4 linked regions of the Struthio camelus genome follow. The protein of the gene in region 1 binds, or shares a complex with, the protein of each later gene. Links are inferred from orthologs where the notes say so. Each region holds a gene or a part of one and is shown in the gene's direction. Other genes may lie near its edges.

What was found.
Region 2: the proteins of CCND1 (region 1) and AMBRA1 are in contact, whole or in part, in a cryo-EM structure (PDB 9IVD), measured with the Homo sapiens proteins. The link is inferred for Struthio camelus from reciprocal best matches to the Homo sapiens genes CCND1 and AMBRA1. Residues at the interface, in NP_444284.1 of Homo sapiens: Thr286, Pro287, Thr288, Asp289, Val290, Arg291, Val293, Asp294, Ile295; in NP_001354397.1 of Homo sapiens: Arg54, Ser55, Phe57, Val73, His75, Arg96, Thr97, Trp99, Leu116, Ala139, Arg184, Ile945, Asn1012, Asn1029.
Region 3: the proteins of CCND1 (region 1) and CDK4 are in contact, whole or in part, in a crystal structure (PDB 2W96), measured with the Homo sapiens proteins. The link is inferred for Struthio camelus from reciprocal best matches to the Homo sapiens genes CCND1 and CDK4. Residues at the interface, in NP_444284.1 of Homo sapiens: Leu6, Cys7, Cys8, Glu9, Val10, Thr12, Ile13, Ala30, Lys33, Ala34, Thr37, Phe108, Lys112, Met113, Glu115, Pro118, Leu119, Thr120, Ala121, Leu138, Gln139, Glu141, Leu142, Val145, Asn146, Lys149, Trp150, Asn151, Leu152, Ala153; in NP_000066.1 of Homo sapiens: Gly45, Gly48, Leu49, Ile51, Thr53, Val54, Arg55, Val57, Ala58, Leu59, Arg61, Arg62, Ala65, Phe66, Asp76, Val77, Cys78, Ala79, Arg82, Ile87, Val89, Asp129, His132, Ala133, Asn134, Cys135, Ser285, Phe287, Arg288.
Region 4: the proteins of CCND1 (region 1) and CDKN1B are in contact, whole or in part, in a crystal structure (PDB 6P8F), measured with the Homo sapiens proteins. The link is inferred for Struthio camelus from reciprocal best matches to the Homo sapiens genes CCND1 and CDKN1B. Residues at the interface, in NP_444284.1 of Homo sapiens: Met56, Ile59, Val60, Trp63, Glu66, Val67, Glu70, Glu92, Lys95, Lys96, Ser97, Arg98, Leu99, Gln100, Leu101, Ile126, Tyr127, Thr128, Asp129, Ser131, Arg133, Glu136, Gln139, Met140, Leu142, Leu143, Asn146, Lys147; in NP_004055.1 of Homo sapiens: Lys25, Pro26, Ser27, Ala28, Cys29, Arg30, Asn31, Leu32, Phe33, Pro35, Val36, His38, Glu39, Glu40, Leu41, Thr42, Asp44, Leu45, His48, Cys49, Met52.

The regions. Positions count from the first base shown.
Region 1 is NC_090946.1:32,623,217-32,630,810, forward strand, and holds the start of CCND1 (G1/S-specific cyclin-D1), read left to right. Parts: upstream 1-4,592; 5' UTR 4,593-4,712; exon of another isoform or gene 4,713-4,770; intron 4,771-4,939; exon of another isoform or gene 4,940-5,117; intron 5,118-5,334; exon of another isoform or gene 5,335-6,246; 5' UTR 6,247-6,342; coding exon 6,343-6,355; exon of another isoform or gene 6,356-7,225; intron 7,226-7,594. UniProt on the Homo sapiens protein: Regulatory component of the cyclin D1-CDK4 (DC) complex that phosphorylates and inhibits members of the retinoblastoma (RB) protein family including RB1 and regulates the cell-cycle during G(1)/S transition.
Region 2 is NC_090946.1:39,797,730-39,804,788, forward strand, and holds the start of AMBRA1 (activating molecule in BECN1-regulated autophagy protein 1), read left to right. Parts: upstream 1-4,047; 5' UTR 4,048-4,204; intron 4,205-4,886; exon of another isoform or gene 4,887-4,982; intron 4,983-7,059. Other genes in the region: putative nuclease HARBI1, read left to right, coding at 345-721. UniProt on the Homo sapiens protein: Substrate-recognition component of a DCX (DDB1-CUL4-X-box) E3 ubiquitin-protein ligase complex involved in cell cycle control and autophagy.
Region 3 is NC_090969.1:2,238,115-2,245,504, forward strand, and holds the start of CDK4 (cyclin-dependent kinase 4), read left to right. Parts: upstream 1-4,382; 5' UTR 4,383-4,462; intron 4,463-5,606; 5' UTR 5,607-5,640; coding exon 5,641-5,858; intron 5,859-5,952; coding exon 5,953-6,088; intron 6,089-6,176; coding exon 6,177-6,344; intron 6,345-6,973; coding exon 6,974-7,083; intron 7,084-7,318; coding exon 7,319-7,369; intron 7,370-7,390. Other genes in the region: CYP27B1 (25-hydroxyvitamin D-1 alpha hydroxylase, mitochondrial), read left to right, coding at 313-509, 937-1,137, 1,226-1,371, 1,463-1,629, 1,717-1,798, 1,881-2,078, 2,166-2,279.
Region 4 is NC_090942.1:81,531,337-81,538,679, forward strand, and holds the start of CDKN1B (cyclin-dependent kinase inhibitor 1B), read left to right. Parts: upstream 1-4,343; 5' UTR 4,344-4,667; coding exon 4,668-5,142; intron 5,143-5,704; coding exon 5,705-5,826; 3' UTR 5,827-5,835; intron 5,836-7,226; 3' UTR 7,227-7,343. UniProt on the Homo sapiens protein: Important regulator of cell cycle progression. Inhibits the kinase activity of CDK2 bound to cyclin A, but has little inhibitory activity on CDK2 bound to SPDYA. Involved in G1 arrest. Potent inhibitor of cyclin E- and cyclin A-CDK2 complexes.

The DNA.
Region 1 (7,594 bases):
GTAATTCCAGTGTACTTACATATTTAAATTTAAGCATCAGTTTAAGTCTGTTCCTGAATTAGCTTCTAAATCATTTGCAATCTAGCCTTGTCTCCAGTGAAAATCATTACGTTACATCCCTGGATTGCTCCAGAAACAGGAAAAAATACTCTGTGTACTTCTTGAGCAAGTTCTCTTGTTTTTACACTAACTTTTTGTTGGGGTTCAGCTTCTGTAAGCAGCTCCAGCCCCAGCCTGAATGCGAAGCTGAATCTGGGATTTGAAGAAATACTTTGGTTTTGGTCAAAATACGCTCAAACTCTACATAGATTTTAGAGAGGAGAGATAAGGTGGGGGCATGGCTTTATCACGTGTTTCAAGTAAATATGTGCCCTTCCCCTTTTCCAGATCCTCCCCTTCCCATCAGAATATTCCCTAGGAAACTTCCTGCCCTTTTCAAGACATGTTGCAATTAGCACTCATACCATGATACACATGCACTGGACACAAGCTTGAGCCTGGCAGAGATTCTGTGTGTATTTTGGGTTGGACATAAATATTAAGGGTTTATCTCAGTTTTCCCTCAGGTCAGATTCGGGTACTATACTGTTTTCCAGTTGAGAATCACTGCCAGATAGTCTCATGTAACTTCACTGAATCTAGCCATACTTCCTAGCCTGATGCAGTGAGGACTAAGGAATCCCATGTCAGTATCCTCTGAATTTTTTTAGCTTTATGAAAAAGACCTCCCTGCCGTGGTCAAGTAGATGGATGTTTTAGACAAGCTGACTGAACCTGACAGTTTTCTGAATGACAGCAGGTGGTGACAGATGAAGCACTGACTTACACAAAGCCACTTAAGTCATGAGCTGGGAATCAAACAATTATAAAGGGAATTTAGAATGGAGAGACATCCTATTTTTGATTTTGATTGTTCTTTTAAAGGGGACACCAATGCTGCGACACTTGTACAAACGCTTACGTTCTTCCTAGGCTAAGTTAATGTTAAGGCCGTACAACATTTCATACTTTGGAAACAAAACATCTCTGATGCAGCTGTTAATGAAAATTGACATTCATATTTTATTTCGAGCTTTTACTTTAATCCCACTGAAATGTAATACACGTGCAGAAAGATGATTCCTCTTTTTTCCCCCCATGAACAAATATCCACAGTTTAAGGTTGTAAAACTGAGCAATTTAGTAATGATGTAAACACAAATGAAAATTAGCCAACAAAAGAAATTCAATGGAGTTAAATAGGAGGCTATTATCATACCTTACATTCCCTTCTGTCACTAGCTGTAGCACCATGGAGAATCAGTAAGGTAAGAACTAACCATAGGGAACAAAGCAATTACCTGCTAATATGGTGCAGTAGTCCAAACACAGCAAAAATAAATTATAAATATGAATGCTACACAAAGATATAACTAAAGGTTTATGCATTTCCAAAGATATATGCTATTCCATACTAATTTTTAATCAAATTGAGTTGCACCACAAGCAAGTAAAAAAAATAACAGTTAGCACAAGCAGATCAAATTAAATGTAAATATTTCTGAAGTCTACACCAAGACTATAATCTCATCTTTCAAGGTATTCGGTTCTTCACTTCCTTTACCGAGTTAGGGAAGCAAGTAGACTAGATTCCCCAAGGCTCGTCACCCTCTATTATTATTTATATTTTTGCCCATTTACTCTAACTGCCACAGATTCAAAATGGTAGCATTCTAGAGCCACTCTGCACTCATTTGGCACACGCATAAAAGTGCACACACAAAAGGCAAAAGGTAGTAGGAATCCCAGGCAATATAAGTTTATTTGATTGTAGTCATTAGTGCTATACATTACAGGTTCAATCCTGCTCCCTTTGATGTTGATGGTAATACTCCCATTGAATTCATGTGCTCTGAAAAATGCCTGAGTTTTGCAAATTTATCATTTTGTCATCTATGCTTCAGGTCAAAATTATAATCTAGTGTTTTAGACTTGATTCTGAGCCAAATGATTTTTACTACAGGTTCAAAGAATGCAAACTTGTCCTTCAGAGAAGTGCCAATCCACTTTACGACGACGAGTAGGATGTTTGAGGCTGAGGGATCCAAGGGATACAAACATCCTGCAGGTGACTATAACCATCCTGAGCTTCCAGGGTCTCACTGCAGCAAACAGCAAGGATGTCACTCTTGCGGGGTGCATTGTGGCTGTCTCCTTAGAAAGGGTTTGGAAAGTTAGGATACCAGATACAGGATACCAGAAGCTAAAGAGACTTTCCAGCATTCTTAGTGTTATGGAACTGCATCTCTCTCAGTGAAATACCTTAAGTCAAGTCCTCAGTCATTCATGTTATCCAGTCCGCCACTTCTAAGTGAAGTAGCTTTCTTTCTTTTCTCATCCTCACTTTATGGCAGCCTCTGGTAGAGAACACTACATGGCAAGAGATGTTATGTAGTGAGAGATAAGTTCTTCTTCTGACTGCAGGCATTCAACCACTTTTAACACAAGTATTCAAGAGGCTCTGAAACTAGACAGGTGAGCGTCCCAAAAATGGGACTACGCTTTTCCCGAAGTCAACAGGAAAGAAAAGAGAATATGGAAAATATTAAATGGATGTCAGATTTAGGACATGTAGGATGTAGGACTTGTTGGACTTGTAGGACTTGTAGGACCCTCCTCTACTTCTTGTTTTACAGTGCCAGTGAAAAGAGGGGTGAAAAATACTAATACCGTGCTTCAAAAATTACTACAAGTCAGATGTCAGATGTAGGACTTGGATTTTGAAAGGATATCTCTCCTTCCCTGCCAAGGTTAAAAGCACAAGGAACCAGAACCTCACCAGAGGACTGGTAACCTGCCGCAGGCTGTGAAGGAATTAAAGAAGGTGAGAAGATTACAGGAAGCTGCAGGCCTGATCTCCAGAACTGACCCTTAGCACTGCCACTGACTTCAGCTGGAGTTAGGAAGTGTTCAGCGGTCCACGAAATCTGGCCCTGAAGAGATTATTTGCACTGGTTTTACTCAAAGAGCGTGTTGCAAAGATGCCACAAGCAGATTTACCATTTCCAGGCAGGTCTGGAAAGAGCAGATAGGGCAGCAGACTGAAGCAAAGAAATATGGCATGTGGCTGGTTGGGCTAAGTTCTCAGCTCTGGAAGAACTGGAGAATGGCTGGTAGAGTTGGTGAGAAAAAACATTGCACGTCTCATGTGTTTTTACACCAGAGAGCCCAAGGAGAATCTTTTATCATCATGTCTTCATTCTACATAGAAAAGCGCATATAGACATCTGTTGATCTCTGCAGCTAATTTTCTCTGGAGCCAACACATTTAACACATTTAAACAGGAGGCAAATCTGTCTTGATGGAGCTATTCTACCAATTTATCCTATCTGATACTCTGGCTCACAATTACTAATGCATCAATGTGGCATTTCTGGCAGAGGGAGACAAACGTAAGAAGAAGGTACTTAAGACATTCCTAAAATAACTTTTCTGCGGTGTATGTGATACATACTCCATGCTGATTTATTGGCACTTATCAGGAATTATATAAGGTAGCCTGCAAAATTTGATTAGGGCCTCGCCACTAACGAGTAATGCAGCCTAGCTGTCACACCAGAAGAATATTTGTTCCCCTCCCAACACATCATTACGTTAGCAGTCTACACTGTTACAGCGACCAAACTGCTATTCACCTCCGTGGGAGCAGCACTGAACCTATAATCATGCCAAAATACCCTCCTCTACTTCTTGTTTTACAGTACCAGTGAAAAGAGGGGTGAAAAATACTAATACCGTGCTTCAAAAATTACTATCGCTACCCAGTTCCACAACAAAATTCTGATGGGATTTATAATACGCCTTTAAACTGCCTTGCAATATTACAAAGAGGAGCTGTCAATTTGGGGAAGAGAGAAAATGTTTTTCTCCTGATTTGTAAACTGGGTTTCCACGCTCTGCCTGGCTAACCCGTGTTTTCACAGCTCACCAACCCGCCTCGGACACCGACACGTGCGCTGGTCGCTTCCATGCTGTTAGGTTGTCAAAGTGCACTGTCAGCTGAGGACTTTCGGTAAAAAGTTCACTGCAAAAGAGAAGCAAGAACTGTAGCGGCTCTTCTTTAACTCAATGGTGATGGAAGAAAAGGATTTCCACTACAGCGTCTTTGCTCTGAGAATTTTAGTGTGTAAATACGTTTGTCTTATTCACTTCGACGCCGTCACCCAGGCTCCCTTTCTTGCCCGTCCTTCCGGCCGGTCCTTCCATTTTTGGCATGGCAAAACCATAACGAGAAAAGAACAGCCCTCTTCCCGCTCCTCTTCCTTCCCCTCATTAATTTCACCTTCGTCCCTTTTCTCCGCTTACCTCCGTGGTCAGGCTAAACTCGGCCTAACTCCCAGCACCGGCTGCCCAGCCCGGCCCCGGGCCCAGCCCCGACCCTTCCTCCCCCGCCGCCCCCGGCCTCGGGGCAACGATCTGCCCAACGGGCCTCTGTCAGCGCCGGGACCGCAGCTCGCTGCCGGCCTCCGGCGCCCACCCGTGCGCGCGGCCCCTGGCGCCCCCGCAGACACACGGCGCAGGGGCGGCGGGGCCGCGGCACTTCAGTGCCTCCCGCCGCAGCAGGCACCGCTGCTCCCCCCCCGGCCCGGGCGGGCCCGGCCGCGCCGCCCCGGCGCTCGCTCGGGCCGGTTTGAGGCGCGCGGCCGGCGGCGCGCCTCTTCGGGAGCTTACGGTAGGCGGCGGCGGCGGTGGCGGCGGCGGCGGCGCGCCGGCCCCGCCCGCGCCGCCCCGGCGGGGCGGGGCGGGCTCGCGCCGGCGGCGGGCGGCGGCGGCGGCGGCACGGCCCCAACGGCGGGCGGCGGCGGGGCTCGGCCGCCCCCGCCCCGCGGCGGGCGGGGTGACATCATGAGAAAGTGCCGGGGGAGGCGGGCAGGAAGCGCCGTCGGAAGCGGGGCCGGCGGCGGGGCGCAGCGGAGCCTCGGGCCGCCGCGGCCCGCCCGTTAAGCACGCCTCGCCGCGAGGCCGAGGGCCGCGCCTCCTCCCCCTCTCTGCCCCCCCCCCCCCGCCCCGCGGCCGTTAGAACCGTTACGGGGCCGTTTCCGGGGAGCCGCCAAGCGGAGCAGATTCGAGGCCGCGTGTGAGGGGAAGCGGCTGAGCCGGAGGGAGGGGAAGGCGCCGGCCGTTACGGGGCCTGGCCGGAGCCCCGGGGCGGCGGTGCCGGTGCCCGGGCCGGCTCCGCAAAGGCGGGCGGGGGGCCGGGGGGAGGACCTCGGCGGGGCGCGCGTGTTGCGGCGCCCTTGCACTTTTGACCAGTCCCCTTTGTGTGGCCGGGAGGGATCGGCCGCGCCGCTCGCCGAGATCTGCCTGATCCGCCTGGTAACAGATCTCCTCCCCCATTGGCTCATGCTAATGGGCGCTTCCTGCGGCCGCGCCGCCCGCGCAGCGCCGGGGGCTCCCCCGGGATCGGGGCCAGCGCCGCCGCCACCGGCACCTCTCGCCCGGCCACCCCCAGCCCCTCCGCGGCGTTTCACGAACGGAAGCCCCCACGTTGCCGGCCTCGTGGAGAAAGGAGAAAAAATGGGGGGGGGAGGTGGAAAAACCCACCCAAGCCGCAGAGGCGGCGGCAGGGCGAGGGCGCCGGAGGCGGGTGATCCTGGGCCTGGGCTGAAGGGCTTTGAGCAAAGTGACCAGAAACAAATGTTTGGAGACAAAAGTGCAGACATGACACTGGCTCCTGGGGGAGGGAAGGGGTTCGGGCCGTGCCTCGCTCCACAAAGCGCTTGGCCTGTAAAATGCCAGGCAGGCCGCACACCAACTGCCCCCTAGGAAGGTGCTGGCGGGCACGGAAGTTAATTAAATGTGATGCCCGAGTTGCCCATCGTTGGCTGGCTGAATTCAACCGGATCTGGCAGTGCGGGGTCATTGTGTGTTTTTTTAGTAAAAATCAAAACTTCCCCAGCCAGCCTAAGTCATGAAAACAGAAGTGAGCTCCCTGCGTGTGCAGCATGATAGACAAGCACGGGGACACGCTTAGGGGACTGCTTCCTTGCTGAGAAACCATCCAGATTCACCCCACAGACTGCAGTGCGCAAGGGGAACTGAGATCCTGGGGCCTCTGCCATATCCTCCTAACAGAGGAAGACAAAATAGGGACAAGTGGTCAAGCAAACTGGAAAGATGGACAGATATTTCATGCAAAGGGGTTACGTAAGCACGCAACTGTGCAACAACATGCCCTGTGATCTTTGGCACTGCTTTCCCCATAGGTCATACAGGAGAGATGCTGTATGGCTTTGTAGCGTGTCGGTTACGGCCGCGAGCCCCCTCCAGTGCTTTGAAACCTGCTGGCGATGCTTCCCTAAATGCTGTTAAGGGGTAGGTACTAGTGCTGTTAATGCTGCGCTAACGTGGTGGTAAACACTGAGGTTGGAGTTAATTTGAGCACTCAGGTGAGCAGAAGAGGAGCTGAACCCTAGTTTATGGCGTTCTCACTTCTCCCTGTCCCATCCACTTCGGTCCAAGACAAGCTGTTTCGCCCTTGGAGCCGTGGGTTGCCTTCACCTCTGCTATTTTCCAGCAGGCCCCAAGCTCCCGTCAGCCTGTTAGAAAGCGGGGAGTTGAATGGAGACTTTTTATTAGAAACAGAGCAAAACACCAAAACATTTTCACATACAAGCGGTTCAGTTGAGCTGGGGGAGCAGGAGTTATTTACGGTGGGGCCGAGCGGTTGCGCGTCACGCGTGGACAGACCGTCCTCGCGGCACAGCGCGTGCAGTGAGGCCCTGGCAGCTCTGGTGGCTGCTGGCACCTCCCCCGTGTAGGTGCTAGCTGTGCAGGAGGAAACTCCGGCCACCATTTTGCAGCTCTGCTGAGATATTTTTTCTGGGTGGCTGTGTGCAGTGGGGGTGGGGTGCTGAGTTTTGGCCTGCCGAGGGTTAACTGCTGCTTTCCGCCCTTGGAATTAGCTATCACCATGTCCCCTGCCACCGCTGAGCCGCTTTTGGAGGGTAAATACTTAAAAGTGAAAGGAAAGACATAAAGAGAGGAAGAAAAAACACCATCTTGGTGGTGGTGGTGGTGGGGGGGGGACCCTAATTTCTTTAAAATTCTCATGTGCAGCAAAAACACGCAGGCTGGGAAAAACAGGAATGAGGAAATGGGAAAAAGCTTCTCCCATGGGATTAACTACAAAGACTCTGGGACTTCAGGTCAGGAGCGCGCTGTTTTAAACAGCAGATATTCCAGGTACACATCGGTAGTAATAATAACTGGTAATTAATAGTGGCACACTGGTACTTCTCTGCCCCCCCTCCCTGGCGCCCCCAGTAAAATAATACCAACTAAGTCTCCTTGTATTTTTATCCATGTGTGTCTGTGTGTGGCCTAGCCCCATTCATCATTTGGCTCCCACTGCAGAACTCTCTCCATTTTAAAAATTATGCATGATACACTGAAGAGACAATTTGGGTTTCCCCCACCTCTCCCTTGCCCTTGAAGAAAGCAAGCCCTTGTCTCATTTGCATTTGCATTAAAACCCTGCTCTCTATAAGCTAAGCAAAGGGGAAGGACTTGAAGCCTATGGGATGGCTTTAGGGCTCTGCCCCTTGCTTTTGG
Region 2 (7,059 bases), about 7.2 Mb from region 1:
TCCTACCCCTTTCTGAATTATGTACTTTTTAATTTTACGTATGATTCTAGTCCAGTTGTCATAATTTCACTGTATTGCATAGTAAATGAATCTCTCTTTTAACAACCCTCCTCTTCAGTGTTCTTTAGGATTTTTTCATGTCAAATAGAGTGTCTTTATTTTTTGTCTTCTATCACACTTGTAAACCTGAGTTATTGTTGATCTTTCATATTTTCTCATGTGTTCTGTTTTTAGCCGGAAAAAAAGTTATTCTAGATCTACAGTACCGGAAAACTGAGAATGAAGAGCTGAAACCTATTGTTAACCGTAGGTATGTAATCTCTCCTGTTTTTGAACACTAACAGGCGACAGCTCCTTCTTCCTCCGAACGTGGCTGATGACCCCTCTGCATATCCCTGAGACACCTGCAGAATACCGTTATAACATGGCGCATTCTGCCACTCACAATGTCATCGAGCGGACGTTCAGAACCATTCGATCGCGTTTCCGCTGCTTGGATGGGTCCAAAGGCACCCTGCAATATTCGCCGGAGAAATCCAGCCATATCATTCTGGCCTGCTGCGTGCTTCATAACATCTCCCTGGAGCATGGGCTGGATGTGTGGTCTTCCCCAGCCACAGGACACATGGAACAACCAGAAGAAGAATATGAGCAAATGGAATCAATGGACTCAGAAGCTTGTCGTATACGCCAGGAGCTTTTGCTTACTCATTTTAGCTAATTTTGTGACAGCTTCTAAAGGCTGGTCTGGGAAGAATACAGGAGCAAATATGCCCCTCTTCTGTAAGTTCATAAAGACTGATCAGATGTGCGACAGGGAAAACTTTACTGACTTCGTTTCGGGGGGTGTTCTGAACTTCTCTTGATCTCCTTCTAAATGTCCTATTTAGTTGCTGAATTTTTACTGTTGTGATGCACATAGACTCCCCTTTCACTTATTTTAGAGAATAGTCTCAGTAGTGTGAGATTAGAGGAGAGACTTGGAAAATGGTCTTTGATAATTATGAAAAATCTATAAGGTTCAAACGATTTTACAAAGCGCAGTTCTATGCTGGTTTGTAAGCTGAAACACTTAATCAGGTTTTTGAACAACATTTCAACAAATTAAACTTCCTTCTGGGCTCCAGGGTACTCTGGATTCATGAGCAGCAAAGTACAAAAAGCACTCCTCATTTGGCCTGCAGATACAAGATCTTTACTAAATTCCATTAATGGTTTTGCACACCTCCCAAAACGCAATGATTCCTGTGAATGCTGATGGTTGTATTCTGGGAGGAGTTAGGCTTTTTTGGTGGGTACACCTTAGTGTATGCACATATCTTAAAGACAAGAAGGGCTGGATGTTTCTTCTTTCCCAAACTGGAGAAGATGTTAAGCTACAGTTGGCTGTGTCTGTTACTTAACAGATACCAGGAAATGGGCTAGTGAATTTGAGTCTAGTTCTCACTAGATATGGCTACCACAACAAAAACAGTTGTTAACTATTCATCTTGTTGGTTGCTCTAAAAGAAATGTGAAGGACTGACTGGATTAAAAAAAATTGAACCAATTGCACATGTTCTCTACGTGCCTCAGCTCTGATATACGGGAAGGCCCTTCCACCATTGCTGGCAATGTCCCTGTTCAGTGGAAAAAAGACTCTAATGCACGCAGTTCTTGTTGGCACAAAACTTTGAAGTATCCTTATCCTGGCAATAGTCCCTTTCCAAAGGATACGTGCGTTTCCAAGGATATCTCTTGACAGCAGTCTGAGACAGTTTTGTTTCTTAGAGATATTATTGTTTACTGGGCAGTAAATGTAACATCCAAGTGGTAGGGAATTCAGAATGCTGCACAAAAACTAACACTCAAAGTAGCATGGCAATTTAGCCCAGCAGGTCTTCTGCTCTTTGTAGAGAAAATGAGCCTGGTTCATGCCTCACAGGTTTTAGGAATATGTCCTATCCTTTCTCATTCTTAAGGGGTGAAGATTTGCGATTAGACATAGTTCTGTCAGTTTGCAATAGCAGTAAGCATTTAGTATTTTATACACAATGAGCAGGCTTGATGAGGTATAAGCAACTTGTTTCTTGAGGCCTTGATTAGAACTGTAAAATAACATGTACAGCAATCTGAGATGTTCTTCTATTTTCTTTATACCTTCTCTCATGATATATCACTTAAGAACTACTATTTCTTACTGTGGAGAAAACCCCACTCCTTTTACCTAGGAGGAAATGTGCAAGCATTATAGAAAATCATTTGTAAAATAACCATAATGCCAGAATGAAAGGTAAGAGTTGCTGCCATGTATGTCTGGTGTCCCATAATCATATCTGACTGTGCTAAAAATGCTTATCATCAGACCCAGACACCAGTATGAGCTGAGTGGGTGAAGCGAAGGTCAAGTGAGACTTGGACGCATGTAGGTATGCTCAGCTGTCATGTAATAATGAGTTGAAGTTTCTCAGTTTATACTGTTAATAGCTCTTGACAGCATGCACTGAGACGAAAGCAGCGGCACTCCCTGGAACACATTCACCTCTGGGGTTTGTTTTCCTGCAGCCACAGTCGCCTTTGGTAGACTGTAATTTCAAAACTAATCTCACTCCTTATCAGTTTGGGCAAATACTGCATCAGGGTGTACTGACAAAACCAGCCTGCTCTTCGTTGAGTCAGACCTCAGTGCCTTTCAGTTGATTTGGGAAATGGAATCTCTTCATCTAGAGAAGAGTTTGTGTTATGTACTCCTAAGCAGCTTCCTTCAAAACAATCCATCTGGACTCTTCTGTTTCCCTTGGGCTTAGATCATATTTAAACCTGACAGCTGAGAATCGTATTTCTTCTCTGCTTTGCAGCTCCTCTATGCTTCCCCCCTCACAGAACTCATCAGCTGCATTCCAGAGTGCATAAAGTTTGTGTGTTGTCAGAGCTCTGAAATGTAAAGCCTGCTCTGACCATCACATGCTAATACTGTCTGGTAGATCTCAGCCTTCTGTTGGAAGAAGACAGTGACAGTCTATCCAAGGTACTGGAGTTTTCACTGCTTGACTAAGTTACTCCAAAAAATCACATCATCAGCCTTTTCCAGTTTTCCCGTTAAAACCTCCTCAAAGACTGCCTAGTGAAGCTGTTAGCTGCCTTTGCTCCCTCTTACGCTGCCTATTGCAGTAAACCTCAAGCTGTACGCTTCAGTCAGGTGGGCTTCTTGACTTTTTCCTTGCTGATATATAGACACAGAGTGCCCTCATTTGCTTAGACTTTTCCTCCTGACATTCAAATCTCTCCAGAGACTCATGTCTCTGATACAGATGAGGCAGCACAACCTTTACAGCAACTCCTAATATTAGTTCCTGCCTAGGGCTTCTCATTACATGCTGACCCTCTTTCCAAGGGGTTACGTACACGTTTTGTGTCCTCATCCACGATGTTGGAGATTAATATATAATAATGAATATTAACATTCTATTTAAGGAAAATAATCTTTTTCAATTAACTTCTATCTGATAGTATCTTTTTCCTTCTAAATGTGTTTTGTTCTGATACCATCTATCTTTTCTTGCCTTTTCAATTACATTCCCTCCCCCCTGCCATATCTACCTTCAGGATAAAAGATGTGAGACCTGGACAATGTCTTGCAGGGAGAGATTTAAGCAGCATGTTCAAGAAAAGATTAAGTGGTTCCTGTCTCTGCGTGAGAAGACTCCCGCTCCTAAAGAGTTCTGTAACAGCCAAAACGTGACATCCGGAAGTCTGAGCAGAGAAACCCCAAGCAGCCCCTCAATGCAAACCCAGTCAGACTAGAAGTAAGGGATGTATTTTTTGTTCAAGGCAAAGCAGCCGCTGCAGTGACTTGGGGGGGGGAGGGGGGGTGATGCCCCACCTTCCCGGGAGCGCCCCCACCCCTGCTCGCCCTTCCGGGCTCGATTCATCGCGCCTGCTCTCTGCCGCCCCCGGGCGGCCCCGTGGAAAGCGGAGGCGAAGGAGCTCGTCGCTCGGCTCGCGGGGACTGGCACAGTTCTAGCTTCGGCTGCTCGGGCCTTGGCGCCGCTCTGGGCTCTGCTCTTAGGGCCTGGCTCGGCGTTCGGCTGGCTCGCCTGGCCGGAGCTCGGAGCGGCGGCGGCGGCGACGACCGACTCTTGGGGCCGCTCCTCCGGCCCTGGCCCCGCTCCGCCCGGCCCCGGCCTCGGCCCCGCTCCCGCTCCGCCCCGCACCCCCGCACCAGGTAGGCTCCGGGCCTACGCGCTCGGCCCGGCTGCGGGGCAGGGCCGCGCCGGCGGGGGACGGGCGGGCCGGCCGGCCGGCCGGCCGGGGGCCGCGGGCGGGTTCGGGCGGCGCCGCCGCCGCGGGCGCGCCGGAAGGTTGCGGGCACCTGCGGGCGCGGGGCGGCGGCGGCGGCGGCGGGCGGAGTGGGGCCGGGGCCGGGGCCGGGGCTGGGGCCGGGCCTTTGTGAGGGAGGGCGGGAGCCGGCGCCGCCGCTGGGCCGTGCCGGGACCCCGCGGAGCGCGACGCCTTCCCGGGGCTGGGGCTCCGGCCGGGGCAGCCCCGGGCGCGGCCTTCCCGCGGCGTCTGCCGGTCCGCGGGGGGCTGGGGCGCGGCGGGAGCGGGGCGACGGGCGGGGAGGCGCCCCAGGAAAGCGGCCGTTGGGCCTGGGGAGCCTGCGCGTTGCCTCACGCGCGCCTGTCCCGTATGAAACTGCCGCAAGTTGAGCACTTCTTAAAACTTGACTTCAGCTCCGAGCTCGGGCACTCCATTTTTTTTTTCTTTCCATCGCCTTCTTCTCTTGTACTGCCCCCATCTTTATTTTTGTTAAAAGGGATCAATGTTTTACCATTTCTGCAGTCTGGATAACGATAGGTTACGCTTTCAGAGAGTGCGGTATTGAAATGGATATAACACTTTTTTGGTTTTCCTGTCTTATCCTCTTACAAGGTGAAATAGGTGCTGTTCTCTGTGTCCCTCCTTTTGTTTTTCAAGGTGCATATTGCAGAGTACTTACTTCTGTAAGTAATATTTTGCATAAAATCCATTCCTATATATGCCTCCAGCACTGTGATACTTGATTACATCTCTTCTTGTGGGGGAATGTGCCTAGTTAGTTCACTAGCGTTTTGTTTTGTTTTCTCTTACAATAGTCCTTCAGGCAACACCTACGTTTCTGTCATTTTCTTTGAGTTTTTCCAGGTTATTTTTAATCTTGCCAGTAATGTGTTTTCTGTTGTCTTTGGAAAGCGCTTAACCTAATTTCTGCACTGAAAAGCATTTCAACTTCAAGAGTGAGTAGAGAGATGTTTTAGATGATCACTCACAATTTTTTCCCACGTGTTCTTTGGCAGTATCTTTCTGCTGTAAGAGACAGATTCAAGTACCAAGAATAGCCTTTATCTAGGTGGAATTTTGTCCTCAGGAAGATCAGCCCTGTGAATATAGGGAGTGCATTAGCTGCATATGTAGGTTCAGGAAAAGTGCTTCATGCTGCTCTGTTTCTCCTCCATGTGAAATGTTCACTCATGGCTCTCTTTTTCTGTATTTGTCCTTTACTGCTCGACCAAATTTGGTGTCCTTTGCAAATGTCCTCTGGCTTCTTAGGCTTTGCCACTCCCATCCTCTTTCAAATTGCTAATAGGAATGTTAGAATGGGACCCAAAAATGACCTCCTGGTAACGTGCATTTACTGCCAATCCATTACAGTACTGTTCAGTTTTGTTGCTGGGCTAGTTTTCAGAATGTGGGATGGTCTTAAATCTGAGCAGATTCAAATGCCTTATGAGTGAGGTTCAGAAACAGTACCTGAAATTCTCTGCTAAAGTTAAAATCTTTATTCACATTCTGAATCATTACTGTAATGCAATTTCTAGCATTTGAAACTCCTCAGTATAGCTTGCTTAGTAGTACTACAGTCCACAATTAGTGTTGCTGTGGATAAGTTTTTTGTTTTTTTTTTTTTTAAGTTGGTACTTTTGTGTTCAGAAGGTAACAAATGAGTATACATGTATTTGTCTTGTACTCATCTGTTCATTTGTAGCAGTGTAGATGTTAATGAGTGTAACAGTCTATTAGCCTCTCTCCCCCACTCCCCAGTACTTGCGATGAATAATGTGCTTGGATCCAGATATCTGGACTCGTCTTTTCAGATTTGCCTATCAGGGAGGGATTGGCATTTTACCCAGAGTGTTTACTGTGCTGACAGCTTTTCTTTCTTTTCCCTTCTCTGTGTCATAACTGACCCTCTGGATTCTTGTTTGGATGTTTCCTACTTTTCCATTTTTCGCACAGCATTTCTAACTTTTACGCAGATGTAACAACTAGTTGTAAAGAATGCAAGCTGTAATACTGTCTGCTGGTATTCCTTTATCATAAATTAGAGATTTAAATATTTGCTCCTTTGCTGTGTTACAATTTTTATGAAACTTCTGGAAAATAACTGTAGTATCTTTAATGCAATGGTTGACAAGCTAACTGAATTCAAGGTTCTTGCACAGTTATTACTGATGTTCTTAATACAGTTAATGCTAATTAATACTGTTAATAGGAATGTTATTAAGCTACTTTTCTTCCTCCCCTCCCATCCCTTCTACTAAAGTTGCATTATTGGAGACCTGGTAAAAGGAGGTAGTATGTGTTAATAGTTAACTTGTTTACTCTTGTGTTAGCGGTTATGCACTAACCTAACAAGGAAAGTTATAGAATCAAAATAGTAATGAGGTAAGGAAAGAAGAATCGTTTAGTTTTCAAAAAAGAATAACGAGATAAGTGTAATGGAAGAGACTAAATATTAGGAATATTCTAATGCAAGGTTATTAAAATGTCTGTATAGTAGTCTCTTAATGAAAGACCTGTTAATTGTGTTGCTTAAAACATGAGGAGATGTAATTCTCTACTTGTTGGGATTTAACGTTTGTTGTTAAGAACCTTGATTATAATTGTTGCCTAGTAACTATCTGTTGTCTCCAATTTTTGTGAACTGTTTGTTGAAGGCTGATGAGGCTCTGGGCCTGAGCATGGAGAGGGTCGTCTTAATCTTTATGCCATCACAGCTCCGCTTCTAATGCTCTCAAGGAATCATTCAGTGAGGCCTTT
Region 3 (7,390 bases), on another chromosome or scaffold:
CGCCCGCGCCTTTGCGCGCGGCTTTGGGCGTGCACGCACGGTTGCAGGCGTCCGGCACGCGCGCAGCCCGGCAGCTTTGCACGTGTGTGCACGCGTTTGTGCATGCAAACGCGTTTGCGGGCGTGCTGCACACGTGCAGCTTTGCACACGTGTGCATGGGTTGCATGCAAACACGTTTCCAGGCGTTTTGCATGCATGCACCTTTGCATGCGTGCACGGGCTGCATGCCGACCCGTCTGCAGGCGATTTGCACGCGTGTGCCGTGTGTCATGTGCGTGCCGTGTGTCACGCGTGTGCCATGTGCCCCGGCAGGGAGGGCGAGGAGTGGCAGCGCATGCGCAGCCTGCTGGGCCGGCACCTGCTGCGGCCGCGGGCGGCCGAGGCCTACGCGGGCGCCCTCGAGGCCGTCGTGGCCGACCTGCTGCGGCGCCTGCAGCGCCAGCGCGACCGTCACCCCCAGCAGCTCGTCCCCGACGTGGCCACCGAGTTTTACAAGTTTGGCTTGGAAGGTGGGTCGGGGATGGGGGACGTCACCGCCGGCACCCGGCCAGCTCTGCCTGGGGCCGTGTGTCCTTCCCCCCCCCAGCTACCTGCGGCTCCCATGTCCCCAGGAGCTGATCTGTCCCCCCCGCAGGGCCATCTGTGTCTCCCAGGGCCACCCATGTCCCCCAGAGACTCCTGTCTACCCCTTGGGCTCCCGTGTCCCCCAGGTGATCCCGTGTCCCCCAAGGCTCCCATGTCCCCAGGGGCTGATCTGTCCCCCCCCGGGCCACCTGTGTCCCCCAGGGCCACCCATGTCACCAGGTGAACCCATGTCCCCCAGAGGCTCCTGTCTACCCCTTGGGCTCCCGTTTCCCCCAGGTGATCCCGTGTCCCCCGAGGCTCCCATGTCCCCGCGGCCCCCATCTAACTGCTTCCACCCACCGGCTGCCGCAGGCATCTCCTCCGTCCTCTTCGGGTCCCGCCTGGGCTGCCTGGAGCCGGAGGTGCCGCAGGACACGGAGACCTTCATCCGCGCCGTCAACACCATGTTCGGGACCACGCTGCTCACCATGGCCATGCCGCGCTTCCTGCACCGCCTCTTCCCCAAGCCCTGGCGCACCTTCTGCGACGCCTGGGACTACATGTTCGCCTTCGGTGAGGGCCGGGGTGGCCGGGCGGGGGGCACGCCGGTGGCCCCGCCACCCGGCCGCGCCGCTCACGGCACCTCCTGCTCCCCCACCAGCCAAGGACCACGTGGACCGGCGCGTGGCCGAGGCGGCCGAGCGGCTCGACGGCACCTGCCTCACCTACCACCTGGCCCGGGAGAAGGTGCCCGTGAAGGTCATCTACGGCAACGTCACCGAGCTGCTGCTGGCCGGCGTGGACACGGTGAGATGCCGGGCGCCGCCGTCCCTCCCTACGTGCCCGTAGCGTCCCGTCGGGCCGCCCCGGGCTCAGCGCCGCTCCTTGCCGCCCGCAGATCTCCAGCACGCTGTCGTGGAGCCTGTACGAGCTGTCGCGGCACCCCGACGTGCAGGCGGCCCTGCACCGGGAGGTCTCGGCGGCGCTGGGCGACGGCCGCGGCCCCTCGGCCGCCCAGCTCGCCCGCATGCCCCTGCTCAAGGCCGTGGTGAAGGAGACGCTCAGGTGAGCGCGGCGGCCGGCGCCGGGGTTCGCGCCCACCGGTGCGCCCCCGACCTTCACCAACCCCCGGCGTCTCCCCTCCCGCCGCAGGCTCTACCCGGTCATCCCCGGCAACGCCCGCGTCATCTCCGACCGCGACATCCTCCTGGGCGACTACCTGATCCCCCGCAAGGTGAGCCGGGGCGGCCAGCCGGCGGGGACGGCTCAGCACCCGCTCCGACCGCGGCTCAGCCCCCTCTCGACTCTGCCCGCAGACCCTCATCACGCTGTGCCACTACGCCACGTCCCGCGACGCCCGCCTCTTCCCGGCGCCCGACGCCTTCCGGCCCGAGCGTTGGCTGAGCCGCCAACCCGGCCACCACCCCTTCGCCTCGCTGCCCTTCGGCGTCGGCAAACGCAGCTGCGTCGGCCGCCGCGTCGCCGAGCTGGAGATCCACCTGGCCTTGGCGCAGGTGAGAGCGGGACCCGGCACCCGCCGCCACCCCCCCCCCGCCGCCACCCGCCACCCTCCTCACCCGCCTTCCCCGCCTCTTTTGCAGATCCTGCAGCGTTTCGAGGTGAAACCCGAACCCGGCGGGCGCCCCGTGCGGCCCATGACGCGGACGCTGCTCGTACCGGAGACGGACATCAACCTGCGCTTCCTGAGCCGCTGAGCGGGGCCGCGGGTGCCCCTCGCCCCGAGCGCGGGCCGGCGCGGCGGCACCCCGCGGCGCCTGCCGCCCCGGCTGCTGGTCTGGCTGGCTGCAAAATCCCCCTTATTTAAGCCCACCGGGCCCCTATTTATTGCTCTTAAGGAGACCCTTCCCGTCTGCGGCACCCGCCTAAACGCACGGCGGAGCCCGGCCGGTCGGGGCCGTCCGTGTCTCCCACCCTCCGGCGGGGACGCTCCGAGCGCCGCCGGGCTATTTAAAGGTTTATTTATGTAATAAAAGGGGTTATAGGGGATGGCGAGCGACTCGGTGCCTGCATTGGGGAAGTTGGGGGGGGGGGGAGGGCCGTTGCCTTCACATCCCCCCACCCGCCACCACCCTTCCCCAGCCCGTCGCCCGCCCCGGCTTTCCGGCGTGATTCAAGGGCCCGTTGCGCACCCCGGGGCTGCCGTCCGCCGCCCGCTCCGGCGGGGCGGGCGCACCGCGCGCCCTCCTGCCCCGGCATGCCCGCCGTCCCGCCGGGGTGCCAGGACGTGACTCGTTCCCGCGCCCGCCGGGCGGCACCCGCGCGGCCCAGACGGTGGTGGGCGAAGGGCGGCCCCCCCCCACCCCGGAGAGGGCGAGGGCATGGCTTGCCGCCCGCTCCGGTGTTGCACCCACCCCCCACCACCGCGTTGTTCGCGACGCCCGGCTGCGCCTCTTCCGAGCGAGTTGACGTCCCCCGTGGGGACGCAGCGTTTGACGTCAACGCTCGGGGGACTCTGGACCCCCGTGGGGTGCCCCCCCCGGCGCCTCTTGACGCCGACCCAGCCGTGCGTGGCGGTGAGGGCACGGTGAGGGCCCCGGCCCGGAGCCCTTTGCCCCGTGGGGGGGGCCCCAGCGCCTTCATCCGCTGGGCACGGGGCCGTGGCTGGGGGGGCCGTACGCACACGCGTGTGTCCCTGCACGGGAGCCGTACGCACACGCGTGTGCCCCTGCATGAGGGACGGTGCTGCCTCTGCGCATGTGCACCCAGCTGTGCCCAGCTGTGGGGTTCAGCCCCCCCCCCCCGGTACCCAGCACCTGGGGTGGGGGGGGGCCTGGATCCCTGCTGGGGAGCAGGGGGACCCACCCAGGCCTGGTGTCCTCCGTGGTCCTGGTGCCCCCCACCCCCCGTGGTCCAGGTCCCCCTCTCCCGTGCTCTCAGTGTCCCCTGTGCCCCCACCGTGAGCCCGGTGTTCCCCCCCCCCCACCACCCCGGTCTTCATGTCCCCCTGTGGGGCTGGTTCCCCCCCCCGGTCCCAGTGCCCCACTCTGAGCTCGGTCTCCCCCCCGGTTCCCGTGTCCCCCCGTGAACCCGGTCTCCCCCCAGTCCTGGTGCCCCCACATGGGGCCGGTGCCCCCCCCGTGATCCCGGTGCCCCGCCGTGAACCCGGTCTCCCCCCCCCCCAGTCCTGGTCTCCCCCACGTGGGGCCGGTCCCCCGTGGGCCCCGCCGGCCGCCGGGGCCGTTTCAGCACCACGGACAGAGCCCGGGCCGCGGTGACGGCTCCGCGTTGGGGGGGGGGGCGGAGACGGACACCTGGGGGTCGCGATCCCCGCGGGGGTGGGGGGGTCCCGGTGCCCCGGGGGTGGAGCTTCGGGAGGGGGGGAGCCAGACCGGGAGGGAGGGGTCTCAGGGGTCCCCTCCCCGGGGTGGGGGTGGGGGGTCCTAGGGGTTGTGGTGCAGGGGAGGGGGCGCCCCCCCCCCACCAAGGCGCGCGGGGCCGGGCGCGCTGCCGCCGCTCTCCGCCAGGGGGCGCTGTCGCGCCGCGGCGCCGGTTGGGGGGGGGGGTCGAGCAGCGCTCGGGGCCGCGGGTTCGAGTCCGCCCTCTTCCCCTCCATCGCCCCCCCCCCCCCCAGCCTCTGGGCGGGGAGCCCAGGCGTCCGGGGTTTTGGGGGGGGGGGTCCCACCAGCCCGGGCAGCCGGGGAGGGAGGAAGGAACCCTTCTCCCAGCGGCACCCAGCATCCCTCCCCTCGCCCCTCCCCTCGCCCCTCCCTGCAAATAAAGCCCGGTTGGGGAGTGGGGGGGGGACACAGGCGTCCCTCTCTCTCCTCCCTCCCCCCCCAACCGTGGCCCTTCCGGCCGGCTCGTCTCGCTGGTTCCGGTCCTCCAGCCCCGCCCCCGGCCCGGGCCCCGCCGCCGAGACCCGCGCGCTGCCGCTCGGGTGAGTCGCGGGGCCCCCGTGCGCGCCCGCGCGGCCCCTTGCGCGGATCCCTTTGCACGGGCGCGGCCCCTTGCACGAGCGCCTTGCACGGGCCCCTTGCACGCGCGCGGCCCCTTGCATGGGCCCCTTGCACGCGACGCGGCCCCCTTTGCACGAGCCCCCTGCGCGCGCCGGGTTCCCCTCCCCCCCCCGGTGCCTCCCCCTCGCACCGGCCCCCTGCACGCGTGGGACCTTCCCCCCTCCGCCTCCGGCCCCGTGCACGCGTGGCACCCGCGCCTTGCCCCGGCCCCGCTCGCTGCACGCCGGCGGCTCCCGCCTTGCACGAGCGCCTTGCACGCGGGCGGCCCCTTCCCCCCCTCCCCCCCCGCCTTTGCACGCGCCTTTCTCCGTGCACCGGCCTCTTGCACGAGGGGCAGAGCCTCCCCCGCGGGTCCCCGCTGCACGCGTGGCGCTGGCGAGAGGGGGCGTGTTGTGGTAGGGTCGCCGGGGTGGGGTGGGGGGCTCCATGGGGTGCTGTGGGTGCTGGGGGCTTGTGGGGTGCTGCAGGGTGCCGGGAGCTGCAGGGTGCTGGGAGCAATGGGGTGCTACAGGGTGCTGCAGGGTGCTGGGAGCTATAGGGTGCTGGGAGCCACTGGGTGCTGGGAGCTGGGGGTGTTCGGGTCTGTGGGGTGCTGGGGTCCGCAGGGTGCTCTGGGATGCTGGTCTCTGGGGCGCTGGGAGCTATGAAGTGCCAGTTGCTGGGGTGCTGGGAACTGCTGGGAGCTATGGGGTGCTGGGAGCTCTGGAGTGCTATAGGGTGCTGGGAGCTATGGGGTGCTGGGAGCTGCTGGGAGCTGCTGGGTGCTACAGGGTGCTGGGAGCTGTGGGATGCCTGTTTCTGGGGTGCTGGGAGCTGGGGGTGCTGGGAGCTGCTCGCTGCTGGGTCCGCGGGGTGCTGGGTCCGCAGGGTGCTCTGGGATGCTGGTCCCTGGGGCGCTGGGCTTTGGCGGTGGGCGGTGCTGGGTGCCGTGGCCACGTGTGAACCGGGGCTGCAGGGTGCCGCTGGCTCCCAGGCTGACGCTGCTCTTTCTTTGCGGCGCTGGGTGCTGGCGGGGGCGGGGGAGGATGCAGGCCAGTGCCGGTCAGCGGGTGCTGGGTGCTGCAGGGTGCCGGGGGCCCCGGCCGACGGCGGCGCCAGCATGGCGAAGGAGGTGCGGGCGCAGTACGAGCCGGTGGCGGAGATCGGCGTGGGCGCCTACGGCACCGTCTACAAGGCGCGGGACCTGCAGAGCGGCAAGTTCGTGGCGCTGAAGAACGTGCGGGTGCAGACGACGGAGAACGGGCTGCCCCTGAGCACCGTGCGCGAGGTGGCCCTGCTCAAGCGCCTCGAGCACTTCGACCACCCCAACATCGTCCGGTGAGTCCTGTGGGTGCCCCCTCCCGCCCCGCGGTGACCGGGGACCTCCCCCCTGCTGACGCCGTGTCCCCCCCTCACCCCCTTCCCCGGCCAGGCTGATGGACGTCTGCGCCACGGCACGGACCGAGCGCGAGACCAAGGTGACGCTGGTCTTCGAGCACGTGGACCAGGACCTGAAGACCTACCTGGACAAGGCGCCTGCGCCCGGGTTGCCGCTCGATACCATCAAGGTGGGTTTGGGGGGGGGCCGGCACGATGGCCGTGGGACCACGGTGGGCATGGGGGGGGTCGCTCACACCGGGCGCTCTCCCTTTCCAGGACCTCATGCGGCAGTTCCTCCGCGGCCTCGACTTCCTGCACTCGAACTGCATCGTCCATCGGGACCTCAAGCCCGAGAACATCCTGGTGACCAGCAACGGGCAGGTCAAGCTGGCCGACTTTGGCCTGGCCCGCATCTACAGCTGCCAGATGGCCCTGACCCCTGTGGTGTGTGGCCAGGGGCCGTGAATCTGGGGAGCTCTGGGTCCTGGGGGGGCTGTAGGGCCACGTAGCTGCGAATCTGCGTAGCCACAAAACCGAGGAGTGATGGGGCTTAGGTGGCTCCAAGGCTGTGTGGCCGTGAAGCTGGGTGACCATGGGGCTGGGTGGCCACAAATCCAGGGAGCTGTGGGTCCCAGGTGGCCACGCGTTGGGTTGGCCATGGATCCAGGAAGCCGTGGGGGCTCAGGTGACCACGGGTCCCAGGTGGCCGTGGGTTGGGTTGGCTGTGGGTCCCAGGTGGCCACAAGCCCGGGGAGCTACAGGTCAGGGTGACCCAGGAGTTGAGTGATGGCAAATCTAGGAAGCCCCTATGGGGCAGAGGGGCCACGTTTGTGGCCATGACTGTGAGTCTGGGGAGCCACCGGTCCCAGGTGTCCCTAGGGCTGGAGGGGGCCTTCAGGGACAAGGTGGCCGTGAACCTAGGAAGCCACGGGTCCCCACACCTAAGTGGCCACGAATCCAGGCTGCTTTGGGGCTGAGTGGCTGTGGCTCTCCGTTGAGGGGGGAGGTGGCCCCCCCCCCCCCCCAGCTAGGAGGGGACCCGCAGGCTGTGACCGTCCCCATGCCGCGGGCAGGTGGTGACGCTGTGGTACCGGGCGCCCGAGGTGCTGCTCCAGTCGACCTACGCGACGCCCGTGGACATGTGGAGCGTGGGCTGCATCTTCGCCGAGATGTTCAGGCGGAAGTGAGCGCTGGGGCGGGGGGGGGGGGTGGGCACATGGAGGGGGGGGACCAGGGAGGGGACACGGGCCTGCGGTCCCTGGCGTGTCCCACGGCTTGGTCACGGGGTGCCACCTGCCGCCAACGCGGCCCGTGGGAGATCCCTGCCCTCAACCGAGCCCCCGTGTCCCCCAGCATCGGTGGGTGACGGCAGCGGTGTGTCCCCACCCTGGTGACATCCCCTTGTCCCCCCCCCCCAGGCCCCTTTTCTGCGGTAACTCAGAGGCCGACCAGCTGGGCAAGATTTTTGAGTAAGTGATTTGTGGGGTGGG
Region 4 (7,343 bases), on another chromosome or scaffold:
CATTGGGAAACCATGCTCTGTCCCTACAGCAAGCTGAGGAAAGAGGGTTTGGGCTTCTTGTAGCTCCCCTCGTGCATTTTTCTAGTGCTGGTCACTGGTGAATTATATCTGAGAGACTTGGTAGAAGAAAATAGCATAGGCCTGTTTCCTCTGTGACACGCTACTGCTAAACCTAATAGGGTCCTAATTCTGCCAACAAGGGAAGGGTTACTTTTAGGCATGTTAAGAATATCCCTAGTGACCTGTGGTGAGATCTTGGGGTCTGTGCCTTGCATCTCATGATGGCCTCATCCCAAATTCCTTGAGGAAGCTAGCATTTTTCCTGAAATATTGGAGGTGTGAGGAAACAATCAACCCAATAAAAACAGAGGTGGGTCAGAAGCTTCCTCAAGCCTTCAGCTTTTACAGGCTCATTTCATGCCATGCCACCTTCACCCTCAGCTCTAGAAGAAGCATCCTGTGGAGCAGCTCAGGTATTATTCCCAATTTACCTACAATTTGTAAGGGAACATAAAAAATCCCAAACAACCCAAACTCACATCCTTTATGTGTATAGTTTAATGTGCTTTGCTGTTTAGTTAGACAACCTCATTAAGTGTTGGGGAAGGAGGGTGGCCAAAATGAGGCTGGGAAGCTTGCCGAAGCAGTTTGGGAGGAAAACAACATGGAGAAGCTCTGCCAGTGCTAAAGCCCAAATAGGAGAGTGGAGCAGGGTACTGGGAAAAGAGGGGACAGGGTGTTCAGAGACCATTAGCCAGGACATTCCTCGCACAGACCTCCGTATAAACAGTCCTCGTTCCTTCCTAGTCCTCTCCTCCAAGTTTTTTTTTTTTTTCGTGTCTCCCTTTCTCTAATCCTCCATTCCCGATCTTTGCCTCTCCTTCTTCAGCTTAAATGGCAAGAGCGAAAGAGAGAGAGCTAGCAACCTCGAGGGAAGAGCCTGGCTCTCCCCGGGGCTCGGCTCCTCGTCAGTTCTAGGCGGCTGCGCGGCCGCGCAAGGCAGCGCACGGCCCCTGCTCGGGCCGGGCTGCTGTGCCCGGCTTTTGCAAGACGATGGCGCTCTGATATTTCGCGATCTTTACTGCGGGGCTCTATAGTATTTTTTCACGCTTCGCTGCTACTACAGCAGGCGCCTGCCTCTCTCGCTATTTGCTGCAGCCATCGGGGGTGCCTGACTGTAAACAAAACACTTTAGATCATGGCAAGGTCGCTGCAGACACAGCCTTTCTCCTCGCAGCCGCCGCGATTTAAGGTGGACCCGCCGCGGCCGAGCCCTTGCCCGCGGGGGGAGCCAAGTGCCGCGCCGGGGCCGCGCAACCTCGTGTCCGCCCTGCTATTTTTGCGTCTTTTTTACCCCCCCCTTCCCTCTCCCCCTGTCACTACGCTCATTTATCCCAGCGCGACCCGAGTGTGCCGCAGCCCCGGGCCGGGGAGCAGCGTTTTGCGGGGGCCGCGATAGCTGCAGAGGGGCCGCTGCAGGCTCAGGTGCGGCCCCCCCGGCCCGCCCCGGACCCCCCTTCTACTGCCCGGGGAGGCGCCGCGGGCCCCCCCGGCCCACCTGCCTCCTCCGCGGCCACCGGCCTCGGGGCCCCCCTCCGCCGTGGCCGCGCGCGGAGATTTAAAAGAAGAAGTGATGGCATAAGCCAGATGCAGACCACTCCTACTTCGTTTTGCTTTCACTGCCATCAGTGGCTCCATTGATTTTCCCCCCCCCCGTTTTTTTAGTTACTGGTTTTAATTATCCAGGTACATTTACTACTCTAGCATCTGGGGGCTCAGTCTTAGGTCCTGGTGCTAGGGGCGGTACAAGCAGAACCAAAAAGAAGGTACTTGCTCTAAAGCTCTGCTTTTTCAAAAGCTATAGATAAATCAGTGCTCCTTTCTGCTGTAGTCACCTTCCTGTTTGCTCACCTGTGGCACACGCAATCTTTTTCCCAATGCTCGCCCCCCATTATTTTTGTTTTGGTGGAGGTTTGTACCCAGGTGCGGTGTCGTTCATCCTACCAAGGGGCTTGCCTCTCTGAGTTACTGTTTGTGGACTTCTGGAGCCCTCATGGACTCAGGAATCGTACACTGGCTCCCAAGCAGCCAGGGAGCAGGGACTGGGAATTTCTCAGCTAAGAAGTTACTGGTCAGACCTTCAGCAGATTATCAGCAGGCTTTGCCGCATGAAGGCCCCATCAGCACTATGAGCCCTGGGCATCTTCAGGGGAGCCCCAGGACATATTTTGCATATTGCTTTCTTAGTGTTTGGCTCTTTTGTTTAATCATAGCAAAGCAAGTGTCCTACACCTGGCAGAGAAAGTGAAGAAAAGTTTGAAATCACACTTCCGTGCTGGTAACTATGAAAGTCAAAGACAGGAAAAGCCTGGAGAAAGGAAGAAAAAATCCTTTAAATAAAGCAGACGAATAGGCCCCACTTTGCCAGCTCAGGGAGTTTTATCAGAGAGTTGAAACTCAAGAAAACTCTTAAGCTCCTGCAGACATGAGAATGTCAGCTTTAATTTTCTGCAAGTGAATTGCTAGAACTTGTGGTTGCTGAGAGAAGTTGGAAAACAACTTCTGAGTGCTAAAAAAACCGAGCAAACAGATAGAAATAACATGGCTAATATTTTATTTCAACCTTGTGGGTTTTAAAACAATCTCATTTTGTATTCTTCTTGTTTTAGCTGCACACATCATTTTTTGAACTTGGAGGTGGCAATACTGAGATTACCCTGGAGAGAGTGGGCTGAGCAAAGGCCAGGGGGCTGCTACCTCCGGGTTGCTGCAGGCCAGCAGACTGCTTTGCCCAGGGCTTGAGTTCTGTATAACTGTTATGTTCCCTCTCCCAGTGTTTGCAGAGTTTAGCTCGTCACTTCACAAGAGCAATTGCAGTCAAAGTTTCAGTGGCCCTTCAGGACTGTAGACCCCAAAGCACTATGTGTATGTGTTCAGCACAGGGTAAAAACCTCAATGTCTTCAAGGCCAAATCAGTTGACCCTGTTCTCTCAGCCAGTTACACCTAGTTGTACTGACTTCCACCTCGTTGAAATAGTTTGTCACAGCTGCAGTCCCAGCTTTGGAGAAGGTTGGCCTGCCTGCAGAGAAGAAATGGGCAGACGGATTGGTGTGAAGAGCCTCCATGCTCCCAAACTGGACCCGGGTCCCCGGAGAGGTCAAGGCCTTTAGCAGTAGGCGGCAGCATCCTGGGGGTGTGCTGGCTCCAGAGTACCTGCAGTGTCCTGCGACATGCCCTGCTGCTGTCCATGGGGCCGCTCTGCCTGGTGATGGGAGATGGCTGAGGAAGGGGCGGGAGATAAGCAGGGTAGAGCAGAGGACACTATGTGCCTCTTATCTCCACCATACCTGCTGCAGCTAGCTGAGGAAGTAGCTTAGAAAATCCCTGGCTGTGATTCTTGGCTCATCTAATCTTCAGAGCACACAAACAGGACGAAAACTAATGCTTTTGTTTTCTTTTCCCGGCTTGCCGAGTTCTGAAATCCCAGCAGAGGTTTTTAGAGCCGTTTTTTCACCTAGTCCTCTCTCTGTCGGGAGGACAGCAAGAGGTTATCTTTCCCGCCCTCGCGCCTTCCCCTCAGAGCCACCAGCCTGACTCTGCAGCGGGCTGGGTCAGGGTGCTGGCGGGTCAGGGTGCTGACAGGGAGAGGTGCCCGTCCTCTCGGCACGCCCCGGGGGAACGAGCCCCCTGCTAGCCCCGGGCCTGCCTGAACTCCCGACCTGGGGTGCTGCAGCGCAGGAGCCCAGTCCCGGGAAAAGCAGCGATGGGCCATTTCTGTCGCAAGAACGGGTCAAAATGTAACTAGCCGCCACCATTTCTCACTTCAGCCCTTTCAGCCAAGCGACGGGATTATTTTTTTTTGGGGGGGGGGGGAGGCGGAGGGGAGCACAGGCTCAGCCCAGCCCGGCCCTTGCAGAGGGGGGCGGCGGCTGTGCGGCCCCAGCGGGCTCGGGGCGAGCGGCGCCTTGGCACAGCGCTCGCCTCCCTCGCGGTCCTGCCCGCTCCGTCCCCTCTGCCCCCTCCCTGCGGCCGGGCGCGGGGGGCGGCAGCCCCGCCGGGGCCACCTTTAGAGCCGGCGGCGGCGGCGAGGTAGGGCCGCGCCGACGGGGCGGCGCCCGCCGCCGTAACCAATGGCTCGGCTCCGCTGTTTAAATAGACTCGTCCTGTCAATCATTTTCTTCTTCGTCAGCCTCCCTTCAATCGCCATATTGGGCAACTGAGAAAAGGGCTCGTCTCCGCTTGTTTTTTTCCGTCTCGCCCTTACTACGCGGCCGCGGGGAGAGCGGCGAGGCGCGCGGGCGCGGCGGGGCATCGGCGGGCAGCGCGGAGCCGCCGGCCGGGCCGCGGAGGGCAGCGCCGCTCGCAGCCTGCGCGCTCGCCCGCGCAGCGCCTGACCCGCCCGGGCTCGGCGGCGGCGGCGGCGGCCGTCGGGGCTCTCCCCTCGCCCCGGCCCGGCGCTTATGCGATTGTTTGCCGTCGCCTCTTCTCCGCGGTCCCGAGGAGGTGCCGGAGAGCGGGGCAGCGCGGCGAGGAGGAGCGGAAGAAAAGCTTTCACCGCGGAGAAATAAAAGGCAGAGAGGAGGAGGAGGAGGAGGAGGAGGAGGGGTGGGGGGAGAGCAGCGAGAAAAACAACCGCCGCCAGAAGAAAAGAGGGTTGTGGGGGGAGATGTCAAACGTACGCATTTCTAATGGGAGCCCTACCCTGGAGCGCATGGAGGCCAGGCAGTCGGAGTACCCGAAGCCTTCAGCTTGCAGGAACCTCTTCGGGCCGGTGAACCACGAAGAGTTAAACAGGGACTTGAAGAAGCACTGCAAGGAGATGGAGGAGGCATGCCAGAGGAAGTGGAATTTCGATTTCCAGAATCACAAGCCCCTGGAAGGCAGGTACGAGTGGCAAGCCGTGGAGAAGGGGAGCTCGCCCGACTTCTACTTCAGGCCCCCGAGGCTACTCAAAGCCGTCTGCAAGTCCGCCGGCCACCAGAGCTTGGATGTAAACGGGAATTGCCAGACCGTGATTTTTGTTGGTTCTCAGGGAATCTCAGAGGACACTCACTGTGTAGATCAAAAGACTGATGTTTCTGAAAATCAGACGGACTTTGCAGAGCAGTGCACTGGGCAGAGGAAAAGACCTGCCACTGACGGTAACGTACCCTTGCGAAAGCCGTGCGGGCCCCGATGGTGTCAGCGCCGGGGCTCTCGACCCCTTCGCCCGCACCATACGCGTCCTTGCTCCGGGGGGGCTCTGCCCCGCCGGGCACCGTTTTAGGTGCCCCACAACCCCCAGCCTCCTTTCGCCTTAAAAAGCCCAGGTGCTGTTTTTAAGTCCCAGGAGCGTCCGACGTGCAATGGGAGCCGGTGGGTGATTTGCAAGCAAAAGCCCTTATACACTAGTAACACCCTCTGCGGGAACCCGGCTCCCTCCGAGCAGAGGAGCAGCACCAGGGGTTTCATAACGCCCGTGTGAAGCAAAGGACGGACAGGGATTTTAGATAAAAACAGGAAGCTTGTCTCTTTTACCTAGGGAGGAGCCCTTCTCTCCTCCCCCTGCTCTCCTTCACTTAATCGATAGTAGACATGGGGAGCCGGCAATGTTCCCTCCCCGGCCCCATCTACCCCTCCGGATGCCGAGCAAAATTTGGCAGGAAAATATTTTAATATCACTGTTCCCCCCCACCACCCTTGTTTTTAATTTTCCCCTCCTAGATTCCTCTCCTCAAAATAAAAGAGCCAACACAACAGAAGAAGAGGTTTCAGAAGACTCCCCCAGTGCAAGTTCAGTGGAGCAAACACCCAAGAAATCAAGCCCAAGAAGACATCAAACGTAAACTGTTTAGGTAGGTTCCCACTAGGACCTGGCGTTAGGATGCCAGTTAGGCAAAGAAAGGGAAACCGAGGGCGGTATATATCCTGCCACTATAGGGAGGCTTCAGGCCACTCCAGGCTGGCTGATGAGGCGTTTCTCCTCCGAAACTTTACAGACCGCGTACTTTTTCCCCTAACGCTTTTTGCCTGGGTGTGTGGGGGTGGGACGTTTCTTTGAAAGGAACAAAACGAGCGCGCAGCCCCGCGGGCGGAGCGGCGGCCCGAGGCGCGGGGGGCCGCGGGGCTGCGCCGCCCGGTGCCGCCGCCCGGTGCCGCCGCCGCCGCCTCTTCGCATTTCGCTCCCTCGGATAAGGGAGGCTCCTCTCCCAAAGGCTGCCGGGCCTGCGCCGGGGCGGGGGGACGGGAGTTTCAAACGCGACGGTTTTATCATGTCAGGTGACAAAGGGGGTTGGGGGGGAGCTTCCCCCTCCCGCCTTGATGCCTTTGCACGTAGTTTACAATGTCAGCATTGTCTTCGCACGGAGCAGCCGACTTCCACCTCGGGAGGGCTGAGTAAATAAGTTGGATGGAACGGGAACGGGGGCATTTTCTTTAAATGCGAGCTAGACAACCTTTTTTTTTTTTTTGTTTCCGGTTGTTTTGGTTTGGGTTCAGACGCTGGCAGAAGGGTGCGTTTACGGGGAAGGGAGTGGGTTAATGGGAGCTGGGTCTTTTTTGTTGTTGTTGTTTTGTTTTAACGTGAGGGCTGGGGCGGAGGGAGTTGGTAAATTCTGCCGGCGGTTTCAGAGTGGAGGTTAGAAGAAAGGTTTACAAACGCGATTTGCGATTGTGCTGGAGAGATTAAGCTGTAAAGCAGAAGTTGCAACAAATTAGTCCTGCTGGGGTGAGCGGTGGCAGAGCACGTCAGCATGCGTGTCTATGCAAATGCTGCTACTACCGCCCGTTTGTTTGGGTGGGGGAAGCTGCTCGGCGGCAGGCCGGCGGAAAAGGGGTTAAACCTGGCCGAGAGGAGGGTTCTCGCATTATTTATTTTTACTCCAGCGGCACAAAATGCGTTTGTGTCCCGAAAGATGAGGAAACGCAAGCGCGGCGCTTCGGGCCCGCTCGCCCAGGGCCTGCAAAGCGGCCGCCCCGCCGGGGGAGCGCGGGCCGGCAGCGGCGGGCGCCGGCGCGGCCGCAGCCCAGACGGGGCGCACGGCCCGTGGCGGGGGGGAGGCGGCCGCGGGGCGCCCCCGGGGCCTCCTGTGCGGCCCGGGCTGCGCTGTGCTGTGCTGCGCTCCCCGCCCCGCGGAGCCCTGGCGGCCTGAACCAGTTGCGCCTGCCCGGCGGCCGCCGAGGAAAAGCATCACGTTTCTTTTCGACGTTTCTAATGTCTTCTCCTCCCGTCTCCTTCCCGTTGCAGAGTTCGGAATTTGCGTTTCCTTGTTCATCGGATGCCTCGGGGGTCTGTGAAGCGAGGAAAGTGTAAACTTGTAGTAAAAATGAAAATACATATCGTCGATCTCCATGGGATGGAGAT